Coturnix japonica: one gene and its partners. The protein of the gene in region 1 binds, or shares a complex with, the protein of each later gene. Links are inferred from orthologs where the notes say so. Each region holds a gene or a part of one and is shown on either strand. Other genes may lie near its edges.

Region 1 (4,217 bases):
GTTCCCAAAGAAACACGGCTTCCAAGTTCTCCACCCATTTAGATCCACAATAGAGCTGCTGGCATGAGCCTTGTCAGAACAAGGTGTGCATGGGCAGCACGTCCCCAGCCTTACCCAGCTATGAGCTACTCATGAACAGGAGGTCAGGACAGGATGTCACAGCCTGTCTCTGCCAAGCAATGCTGCTGTCACTACACAGCCCTTCCCAAATGGCCTTTGTTGGGATGCTGCAGGCAAGCAGGCCTGCGAGTGCTGATCTAAATGATCCTACATCAGGAACTGGTCAGTGCTTCCAAAAGCAGGACATGCTGTAAGCCAGAGACCATTGCAGCCCACTGCACTGCAACAAGGAGTGCAATTCTCCTACACTGGGATGTGCTCAATGAAATTCAAGCAGCCATTGATGTGAAGCTGCACTTGCAGGCTGACTCTCAGTGTTAAATAACTAGTTCCTACTTGTCTTCCTTTGTAATAAGGGCTATAGCAAAGCTTACCAAACTCTTCAGAGAAAGAAATAAAGGTAAAAGACATAAAGCTCTGTGCCGAACCCTTGCCAGCTCAAACCAAATATAGCTATTTTCAAAGCTATTCAGATATAAAGAAAAGGATTAGCTGTGAGGGAAAAACAAGTAATTCCATACAAAGAAACAGGTTGATAAAGCCAAGCAGCAGCGAGCGTTTAGTTGTCAAGGCTGGCTATTAGGAATAGAAAGATGAGGAGGCAAAGAGGATGCTTCTGCAAGGCCTTGGCACATAGCACTGCATAACTGGAGAGGGGGCAAGGAGGTGCCATGGGGCCACCGCAGAGCTCCGGCTTCACATCTGAGAATTCATGCCTGCACTTCACATGGGAACAGCTGACACCTGAGTTCAGAAGTGGTACGGGACAAAAGAAAGCTGTTTACAGCACAGAAAGGAAAGGAAAGGAGAAATGTTTCCCTCTCCTTCATGGAAGGAGAGGGAAATGTGAATTACTGAAGTGTCGTTTACTGGATATAAGGTTTACAGTGAAGCAAAGTAGCACCTCCCCCAGCAGATCCATTTTTCCAAACTCCACAACTATATATGTACATTTTTCTAACAGCGATGTGTTATTTTAATGTCTTTTTCAACAGCATGATGAGCAACACACAAATCAAAGGGAACACAGAGACACTGCTCCTTTATACACAGGTATTGCCCACTGTCCCGGTGCCTTCATTGTGAATCTCTACCAGCAGGATCCTGCAGTCATCTCCAGCAAAAAGAAAGCTGAGCTCAAAGCAGTGAAGAGTTTGCTTAGAGGAAAATGCCTCCCTTGGGCGCTCAGAGCTCTGAGCAATGGAAGTAAAGCACGCTCCATGGGAGCCAATAAATCAAACAGCGCAAAGGTCTGTTTTAAGCACTTAATCATTTACACTGTTAAATGTTTAGAATGGTTCCTGGCTACATTTTTGCCCCAAGCAATCTAGCAGTATCTCAAACAGTTGCCGGGAATGACCTGGGAGTGAGGCTGCTCTGTGGACAGAGCTCAACATGCAGTTTGTGCACTGTTTTAGAGGCTGAAGGAGTTGAGTAGTATGGGCACGAGCCGTGCTTGGGCATTCGGCCTGAAGACTGAATGGCTGTCCTGGCAATCTTAATGTACAAGCAGAGGTAACAACCTATGTGAGTGTAACTCAAGAAGTGTGGATCTGATGGTCCTTGCTCTACCCTGTCCTTCTTCATCAGCCCAGGTCCCCATCCAACCTGACCTTGAACACCATGGACAGGGCACCCACATATATCATATATATATATCATATATATACTCAGAGTATACCCCAAGTGAGCATTCATCTCCAAACAAACCCCTCTTGGCATTGTATGTGACTCCTTTCTTGCAGGGCAACTAAAGAAGCCAGCCACCCAAATTCACACAAACAATTCCAATGCAAAGCTGCAGGAAACTGAAGGGGGGAAAAAAAGAAAGGCCACGTCCATAGATTAGATCTACAGGGGAAACACATGGTGGGTTTTATTCACTGTCAAAGAATGAGTCTGGCAGCAGCGGGCACCTGGGTGCTACTGATAAGCTCATAGCAAGGAGTCCTCTCTATGTGGGAACTGAAGTGCTGCTGTGGACTGATGGAAAGCACAGTGAGGATGATGAGAGCAGTCCAGAAAGCTTTTATACTGTTGTGGGAGCTGCCACCGTGAATTAGGAGGATTAATGCACCTCCTGCACACCTCATACACACACACAGCCTGCCCGGCCGACCCTATTTGCTGCCTCATCATGATGGTGATGGAGAAGGATCGGAAGGAAAGATCTCCCTGATGCTCTAAAGTTGTTACAAATGCTTGGGCAGATGGGAAGGGCTTGAGAAAGCGATGGAAACGGAGCCACGTGTTGAGAGGAGAGCAAGCAGGGCACGGGGCTGCGGCAGGGCACTCCTTCATTGCTAATGGGAATACAAGGAGAGTCACGGCACAGCACGGGGGCTCTGAAGGGACCCACGGATCAGCAGCCACGGGGATATCGTGGAGCTGAGGCCGGGGTCTGTGCGGGGTCTGTGCGGGACCGTCCCGCAGCGCCGAGGGGACGGGAAGGAGCCGCACGGCTGGGACGCACTCCGTGCTCCCTCCCGGACCCAGTGGGCTCCTGGCGGGGCGTGGGGAGCCTCCCGCTCACCCTCCCACCCCTCTCTTCCCCACTCCTCCCTCCCCAGCCGGTGCACTTACGGGCAGGAGAAGGAGCGCGGCTGTGGCCGCCGCCGGGAGGCTGCGCTGCGGCGCCCGTCCAGCCATGGGGCCGGAGGGGCTGCGGGGGGCTGCGGGGGGCTGGCGCTGCCCTCTCAGCAGCTCTGCCCCTCTGCTGGCATCTCTAACCCCCCTCCCTCCCACCAACCCCCCCCCGATGCTGCCCCTCACCGCCGCCCCGCTGTCGGACCCGGTGCCGCCGGCGCGTCCCAGGGCAAAGCCCCGCAGGGAGGGAGGGAGGGAGGGAGCCTGGAGGGGGAGCCGAGCCCGCCCTCCGCCCGAGGCGCTGCGGGGATGGAGGAGGACGAAGCCCCCGGGGAGCGCGACCCCAAAGCTACCAGCAATAGAGCGGGGCTCTGTATGGCTCTGTAGTGCGGACAAAGGGAGGCACCCCGAGTCTTGTAATGACCTGAAGGATCCTGAACACAGGCATGGTGCTGTTAGGTCAGCAGTTGGATCAGAACATTTCCAATCTTAGAATCATAGAGCCATAGAATGGCCTCGATTGAAAAGCACCACGATGATCATCCAGTTCCAACCCCCTGCTATGTGCAGGGTCACCAACCAGCAGCCCAGGCTGCCCAGAGCCACATCCAGCCTGGCCTTGAATGCTGCAAGGGATGGGCCATCCACACCTCCTTGGGCACCTGTTCCAGTGCATCACCACCCTCTGGGTGAAAAACTTCTCCCTAATATCCAACCTCATAAAGGTAGCAAAGAAGAAAAGAGGAAAGAGTCCCTTTTGCACAACAAATTCCCAAGGTTTGCATGAACTTACAGCAAGGCTTAACTTGGGGTGAGAATTGCCCAGGCATCTTTCTTTGGGGAGTTGAATTGTTTTTGCCTTTTGTCAATTGATCACAAAAGACATAAAGCAAACAGCTTCTCAGCCCCTCTCCAGAACACACCTACAAGGAGGCTGAAGTACCTGAACCCATGCAGAGGTTGAGCTTCATACAGTATGAACATCACAGCAAGGAGACAGATAGACTCTATGGACTAGTGGACCTGAGAGGTGGGGGAAAGAAAGAAAGAAAGAAAGAAAGAAAGAAAGAAAGAAAGAAAGAAAGAAAGAAAGAAAGAAAGAAAGAAAGAAAGAAGAGAAAAGAAGAAAGAAAGAAAGAAAAGAAAGAAAAAAAGAAAGAAAGAAAAAGAAAGAAAGAAAGAACACAAGAAAGAAAGAAAAAGAAAGGAAAAAGAAAGCAAAGATGAATGTAATAAAGAAAGAAAGAAAGGAAAGAAAGAAAGAAAAAAAGAGAAAGAATGAAAAGAAGAGTGAGGAAGGAAGGAAGGAAGGAAGGAGGAAGGAAGGAAGGAAGAAGAAGGAAGGAAGGAAGGAAGGAAAAGTAAGGAAGGAAGGAAGGAAGGAGAAGGAAGGAAGAAAAGAGGAAGGAAGGAAGGAAGGAAGGGAAGGAAGGAAGGAAGGAAGGAAGGAAGAAGGAAGGAAGGAAGGAAGGAAGGAAGGAAGGAAGGAAGGAAGGAAGGAAGGAAGGAAG
Region 2 (4,265 bases), on another chromosome or scaffold:
CCTTTGGGATGGCAAAGCACAAAGCGAGGGGCTGAACTCAGTGCAATCCTGCCAACACGTGGGAGCAGCACAGCTCCCCCCCAGCACCAGCACCCCCCAATGGGCACATGTAAATCCAACCCCAGTAACCCCGATGTTAGACCAGTGCTCAATGATGAGCCATTGCAGGGGGATTTTGTATGCAGCGTTCTCGCCCCCCTGTTGCCATCCCTGTTAAAAAGGCCAATGATGAGCAAAGGGCAACATCTAATATCTTCAAATTAGAGCCTCTCATTACTGGGTTAACTGCCGGACAGCAGCGTTACCCCTCACTGCTCCTGACCCAACAGCTGCCATTGAGAAGCAAAGCCACCACTGCTTCAGCAATGGGAAACTCCTTCCACATCCACACCCTGCTCAGGTTGATGGGAGCTGGGAAAAGCCCTCTGATATCAATGCAGGGAAGAGCTCCACCTCAGCCCGAGACAGCAGGAACACACACAAGCAGATCTCCTTAATGGAGATGGAAGGCAACAGCATAAAGTGGGTGATGTGCAGAGCTGCACCCACTGAAAGCAAACAGCATGAAGGGCTTCACCCCCCAACCATGCTCTAAGGCCTGTTGTTACTGGGGGAGCAACATTCCCTTATCAATCTGGGGAGGTTCTGGTTGCTTGGTTTGTTTGCAAACGATGCTTCAGGGAAAAATACAGATATATGTGTGTGTATATATATATATAAAGGTTTCTTGAGCATCTTCCATTTCTTTTCTAAGTGCGATCTTTAGATCCAGTGGGATCATCTTAACCCAGATCAGCCTATAGCTCCAACCTATTTTGAAACAACTGCTTCTTTGGGACCGCGTGAAGGAAGCGTCACAGCTCCGTGCTGTCCTCCACCATCAGAAACTGACCCCGAGCCTCCAGAGCCCCCATTAGCACCCAAAGCAACACCCACCCAACAGCAACCGCCGTGCAATGACACCGCTGGCACCCCCAGGATGGGGCTTCACCGAACCAATGCAAAGCTCTGTGCCTGCTCATGCACCTCATCCTTCACCTGTGCCTCCATGCAGACCCGGAGTGAATGATTCCAACCATCAGATTCACTTTCCTGTTTCCTACCCCCCGTTGGAAGCACGGCAGCGTTCCAGCAGCACAACACAGACACACACGTGGGAACGGTGCCCATATAGAACCACCAGCAGAGCTTCCTTCGTGGCTCCCGGGATGCCAGCACTGCTCCCTGCCCCGGAGGAACGGCCGAGAGCTGCTCAGATGCTCCTGCAGTCGCTCACCTCCAGACCTCGCCCAAACCCGAGCAGACAACGTGCTGCACGGCTCCATCCCCAGCACACGCCATTTCCTGCTCTCACACCGCTCTGTATCCCCGTGGGTTTACTGTCAGCACCACAGGGCACCTCCCACCCCCCCCCCAGGGCAGCCCCCCGTGGCCCCACACATCCCCACAGCCCATTTTTCACACATGTGCAGCAGTGGCCCTATCCCCCAATCCTTATCCCATCCCATATCCCCTATCTCTATGCCATCCTCCATTCCTTATCCCTATCCCATCCCCTATTCCCCATCCCATCCCCTATTCCCCATCCTATCCCCTAATCCCCATCCCATCCCCTATTCCCCATCCCATCCCCTATTCCCCATCCCCAGAATCACAGGGGTTGGAATAGACCTCATGAGATCATTGATCCCAACCCCTACTAAAGCAGATACTCCACAATAGGTTGCACAGCCGGGCATCCAGATGGGATATGAACATCCACAGAACACCATTCCCTATCCCCTAACCCCCATTCCCTGTCCCCTATTCCTTATCCTCTACCACCCATCCCCTGTTCCTTATCTCTTACTCCCCATTCCTCCATTCCCTATATTCTATTCCTCATCCCCTCTGCCCTATTCCCTATTCTTTATTCCCCATTCCCTATCCCCACATTGTATCCCCCATCCCTTATCCCTATCCCCTATTTCCTATTCCCTCACTCCCTCTCCCTTACCCCTCTCCCTTATTCCCTATCTCCCATTCCCAACCCTGTATCTCTCTCCCATCCCCATCCTCTATCCCTTAACCCCCATCCATCCCCCATTCCATACCTTCTATTCCTCATCCCCTCTGCCCTATTCCCTATTCTTTATTCTCCATTCCCTATCCCCTCTTCACATCCCCCATCCCTTATCCCCATCCTCTATTTCCTATTCCCTCATTCCCTATCCCTCACCCCTCTCCCCCATTCCCTATCGCCCTGTATCCTCCCATCCCCATCCCCTATCCCTTAACCTCCATCCATCCCCCATTCCATACCTTCTATTCCTCATCCCCTCTGCCCTATTCCCTATTCCTTATTCCCCCATCCTCTCTTCACATCCCCCATCCCTTATCCCTATTCCCTCCCTATCCCTCACCCCTCTCCCCTATTCCTTATCCCCCATTCCCTATCGCCCTGTATCCTCCCATCCCATCCCCCATCCCTTATCCCCCATCCATCCCCATTTCCCCCTCTCACGCCCATTTACCCCCATTATCCCCGTTCCGCTCGGTTCCCCCCTCACCCAGCAGCAGCAGTTTCAGCTCCCTCCTCGCGTCCCTCTTGTCCCTCCGCAGCTGTTTCTCGATCTCGGCGTTGATGCGTTTCGACTCCTTCACCTCGTCGCTCAGGCAACACGCCATCATGGACTCCAGAGTCATGGTCCCAACGCCTCCAGGACGCCGCCGTCCTCCCGGCGCCGATCACCGCTCGCTCCTCACGGCCGGGACCCCCCGGCCCGGCCCGGCCCCGCCGCCCCTTCCTTTCCCTTCCTTTATCCCTTCCCTTCCGTTCCCCTCCCCGTTGTCCGCCCGGCCCGGCCCGGCCTGGCCCCGACCCGACCCCGCGGCCGGGCCCAGCAGCAGCAGCGCGGCCGCCGTCCCTGAGCGCGCTGCCCCCGCCCGGCCGCGCCGCCCGCCGCTCCCCGCCCGCCCCGCACGGCCCCGCCGAGCAGCAGCAGCGGCGCAACCCAACCCACTGCCGCCGAAAACAAGCGGTGACTGACGGCTCCCGCGGCCAATGGGAGAGCGCGGCGAGATGGAGGGCGGGGCTTCACCAGCGAGTGGGCGGGGCTCCGTGCTGACCGGGGAGCAGGTTTGGTTGGCCCGGCAGGGGGCGGGGCGAGACCAGGGCGGGGCGGCGCCGCGGGGCATTGTGGGACGGCGGAGCACCGGGCGGACACGGGGCGGCGCTTCCGGCTGCCAGGCCCGGCCCGGCCCGTTGTAGGCCATGGCGGTTCGGTTCGGTCCCGTGTAGGCCATAGCAGCCCGGTTCGGTCCCGTGTAGGCCATGGCGGTTCGGTTCTGTCACACTCTAGGCCATGACGGCCCGGTTCGGTCCGTTGTAGGCCATGGCGGTTCGGCCCGGTGCGCTGTAGGCCATGACGGCCCGGTTCGGTCCCGTGTAGGCCATGGCGGTTTGGTTCGGTCCCATGTAGGCCATGGCGGCCCGGTTCAGTCCCACTGTAGGCCATGGCAGTTTGGTTCCATGTAGGCCATGGTTCCCGGTTTGGTTCCGTGTAGGCCATGGCGGTTCGGTTCCGTGTAGGCCATGGTGCCCGGTTCTGTCCCGTGTAGGCCATGGCGCTCTGTGTGCCCTCAGGCTGCAGGGCTGGCTGGCTGTTGGCAGGTGCTGCAGTTCCCTCCGGGAGCTTTGAGCACAGGGTGCTGCTTTGCTCACCTTCCTTGGGCACAAACAACTCAAAGCTTTAAGGGCCAAACGCTGCAGAAGTTTCCTCGATAGATAAAGAAATAAGTAAATAGGAACAAAACGTCCATCCACACTCTGTGTGTTCTTACACCTGTTCTGATGGATCCTGCTTGGACCATCAATGTAAAGCACCAAAAACACAGCTCCTAAGGGACGACAGGCTGCTGGTCTCCTCCCTTCTGGTCTCAGTGCTGAGGGACTCACCCACAAAGCACAAGATCTGGGATTTCCCTCCTCTTGGTCAATGATGTGCACGTCCCTAACCCCAGCCTTCATTTCCCTGCCCCACACACATCACACTGTGCCTGTAGACTTCATGTTCCTTTCCTTGCCTTTCTCTGCCTGCCATCCCATCACACCCACAGCACGTCACCTCCTTCCAGGCCGTTCCTGCTGCTCTCCATCCTCCGCTGCTGGCTTCTGACCAGAGCTGCCTGCCCGAGCAGGGACATTCCTGCCCATCTGCTCAGCCCTGCCTCTGTTTTCCAGCAGGGTGTGGGATCCTCGTGCTTTTCTGTGGCTCCTTAAGTTC
Region 3 (2,631 bases), on another chromosome or scaffold:
CTCACGCTGCTGCCCTTTATGGGCACATTCCCATGCAGGGGAAGGGGGACCTGCCCTGTGCCCAGCTTGGGGAGACTGCAGTCCCTGCCTGCTGCGTGCGGGGTCACAGCTGTCCCTGCACTGTTCCTCTGCCCCCAACTGGGCCAGGCTGTGTGTGGGGTGGGGTGGTTGCAGGGCTGCTCCCTGCGCTCACGGCCTCTACCTTCCCCAGGACTACATGGACGCGCTGCTCACCAACTACTGTGTAAGTGCTGAGGATGGAATCCTGGGTTGGATTCCCTGATCCCGTGGCACAGAGCTGCCTGCGGCCCCTCATATCGCTCCTCCCCTCTGCCCAGATTTGGCCGCCGGTGCAGATCGCCAACTTCTACTTCATCCCTCTGGCCCACAGGTAGCAGCACAACCCCATGGCCCCACAGCTCCCGCTGCCCATGGCTGTGTCTGCTGAGCCATCCTTCGCTCTGTTCCCAGGCTGGCTGTCGTGCAGTGTGTTGCCATTGTCTGGAACTGCTACCTGTCCTGGAAAGCAAACCGGCTGTGAGGGGCAGCTGTGCTCCAGGTGCCCCCACCCACCAGCTCTGGAGCCTCAGTCGGGGACTGTGTGTGGGGCTGGAGTGCCGTGCTGTCCATCACGGGGATGCTATGGCAGCGATGACCCCGTGGGGCTGTGGGACCGCTCTGTCTGTTCTCTGTGCCCTGCCCAGCACAGGAGATGCTCCGTCCTTCCCCAGCCTCACTGCTGGCTCACACCCCACGTGTGACAGTGCCCTCCAGTACCTCCACTGGGACTCGGGTCGGGCCCTTCAGGAGCACCCAATAAAAGCTCCGCTCCGCTGCCCCTGTAACGCGTGAATTATCGCCCCCCCGTCACCCTGGGCCTTTTGGGGCCGGGGATTCAGCCCTCGGCCCGTCGTTTCCCATCGTCGCCGGGCGCGGTGCCGCGGTGCCGTATCCCCGAGCCGCATGGCACCGCGCTCGTCTCTATGAGTCACGCCTTTGGCCACCGCCGCTTCCTCGGGGCCGTCTGCAGCGCTTGGCCGCGGCGTGCTGGACCGGCGCGGTGCCATGGGGGGTGCACCGGGGGGGAGGAGGAGGACGGGGGGTGACGTCGCGTGGGTGCGGGGTTCCGGCACCCCAGCTCCGACGGGGAACGCGGCCCCGACGGCGCAGAGCCCCGCACCGCCCCTTCAGCACCACGGACAGCGGCACCGGGATCGGGGTGCGGTGTAAGAGCTGTGCGGGGTGCGGGACGAGAACGGGCACCGGAGAGATGCGGGTCCCGAGGGGCCGCTCCCGGTCCCGGTGCGCTCCGAATCCGCCGTCCCCCGTAGCCCCGCACCCCCCGCCCCCGCCCTGTGCGTCCCCGCCGCTGACGTCAGCCCCGCTCCGGGCCCCATATAAAGTCCCGAGCGCGGCTCCGGCTCAGCCCCGCGGGGACGGACGGAGCTCCGCGCAGCGCACGGCGCCCAGAGCTCGGAGCAGCGGTACGGGCGGTGCGGAGCGGTGCGGGACGGGGCAGTGCCGGGCGGTGCGGGACGGGACGGGACGGGGAGCGTTCGGCTTCGGGGAAGCCCCGTCGGGTGCGGACCCCGCGCTGACCCGCAGCCCCGCAGGTGCGGACGAGCCGAGATGCGGCGGGCGCTGCTCACCGTTCTGCTGCTGCTGTGCCGCCCGTTCCCCGCCGCCCCCCGTCCCGCCCGCCCCGACGGCCTCGACGGCCCCGGCTCGGGAGTCCCCGCGGCGGAAGTGCGGACCGAAGCGCTGTGGCCGCCGCTGCCCGCAGAGCCGTGGAGGGCGCGGAGGGACGAGCCGCCGCTCTCCATCGACCTCACGTTCCATCTCCTGCGGCACCTCCTGCTGCTCGCCCGCGCCCAGAGCCAGCGCGCCCGCGCCGACAACAACCGCCGCATCCTCGACGCCGTGGGACGCTGAGCCCCGCGCCGGGACCGCTCCGACGGGTGCGCGGCTGCCGGACCCCCCCCGGGACGGCTCCGCTCCGATTTTGTAATAAAACACTGCAGAAAAGCCGTAGTGCGGACCTGAGTGTGGGGAACCGTCTCCATCTCCGCTGCGTCCCCACCTTGCCATACTTGCAGCCCATGGTAAGACCCTCCCCGAGCACCCCCCGTTCCAGGCTGAGCATCCCCGGTTGTGCCCCCATCCCCACCCCGCAGCCGTCACTGCCCCCCGTCCCCTTCTGCTGCTGAAGGCCCAACGGCTTTGGGTACGGCACTCGGGCTGCACACTGAGCTGGGGGCTGTGGGGCACAGAGACACCCAGTCCCCATCCTCGTGCATCAGCAGTGACGTGGGGTGACTGACGTGGGGTGACTGACGTGGGGTGACTGACGTGGGGTGACTGACGTGGGGGGCTGACGCAGCGCGGTGCAGCAGTGGGGTGGGGGCACAGGCCGTGACCCACCGGTAATTGAGGCTCTGTGTGCTCAGCCCAGCGCTGTTTGCTCGGTGCACCCAAGGGACGGTGCTGCCAGACGGAGCTGCGGGGGTGGCAGACGTGGGTGCTCCCCCCAGACATGGGGCTGCAGGCAGAGCACAAAGCCCTGGTACAAGGGAACCCCGCAAGCACCTCATCCCCACACACCACACCTCACAGTGTCCACTCGCTCAGTTT

Evidence for each region.
Region 2: the proteins of CRHR2 (region 1) and GNA11 are in contact, whole or in part, in a cryo-EM structure (PDB 7TRY), measured with the Homo sapiens proteins. The link is inferred for Coturnix japonica from reciprocal best matches to the Homo sapiens genes CRHR2 and GNA11. Residues at the interface, in NP_001874.2 of Homo sapiens: Arg148, Tyr208, Leu209, Ala212, Ile213, Thr216, Glu220, Lys293, Lys307, Ala311, Phe358, Tyr359, Phe362, Asn363; in NP_002058.2 of Homo sapiens: Arg37, Ile348, Leu349, Asn352, Leu353, Glu355, Tyr356, Asn357, Leu358.
Region 3: the proteins of CRHR2 (region 1) and UCN are in contact, whole or in part, in a cryo-EM structure (PDB 7TS0), measured with the Homo sapiens proteins. The link is inferred for Coturnix japonica from reciprocal best matches to the Homo sapiens genes CRHR2 and UCN. Residues at the interface, in NP_001874.2 of Homo sapiens: Phe68, Asn69, Gly70, Val71, Tyr73, Ile101, Leu102, Asp103, Asp104, Arg107, Asp110, Tyr113, Leu117, Asn120, Trp166, Leu169, Gln170, Val172, Asp173, His174, His177, Glu178, Thr188, Phe191, Asn192, Phe199, Phe256, Gly257, Lys258, Asp265; in NP_003344.1 of Homo sapiens: Asn84, Pro85, Ser86, Leu87, Ser88, Ile89, Asp90, Leu91, Thr92, Phe93, His94, Leu95, Leu96, Arg97, Thr98, Leu99, Leu100, Leu102, Arg104, Thr105, Ser107, Gln108, Arg111, Ala112, Asn115, Phe119.

Annotation. Positions count from the first base shown.
Region 1 is NC_029517.1:3,701,710-3,705,926, reverse strand, and holds the start of CRHR2 (corticotropin-releasing factor receptor 2), read right to left. Parts: upstream 2,803-4,217; 5' UTR 2,770-2,802; coding exon 2,704-2,769; intron 1-2,703. UniProt on the Homo sapiens protein: G-protein coupled receptor for CRH (corticotropin-releasing factor), UCN (urocortin), UCN2 and UCN3. Has high affinity for UCN.
Region 2 is NC_029543.1:653,111-657,375, reverse strand, and holds the start of GNA11 (guanine nucleotide-binding protein subunit alpha-11), read right to left. Parts: upstream 2,811-4,265; 5' UTR 2,686-2,810; coding exon 2,550-2,685; intron 1-2,549. UniProt on the Homo sapiens protein: Guanine nucleotide-binding proteins (G proteins) function as transducers downstream of G protein-coupled receptors (GPCRs) in numerous signaling cascades.
Region 3 is NC_029518.1:95,414,810-95,417,440, forward strand, and holds UCN (urocortin), read left to right. Parts: upstream 1-1,144; 5' UTR 1,145-1,484; intron 1,485-1,613; 5' UTR 1,614-1,629; coding exon 1,630-1,932; 3' UTR 1,933-2,121; downstream 2,122-2,631. Other genes in the region: protein Mpv17, read left to right, coding at 212-244, 472-852. UniProt on the Homo sapiens protein: Acts in vitro to stimulate the secretion of adrenocorticotropic hormone (ACTH). Binds with high affinity to CRF receptor types 1, 2-alpha, and 2-beta. Plays a role in the establishment of normal hearing thresholds.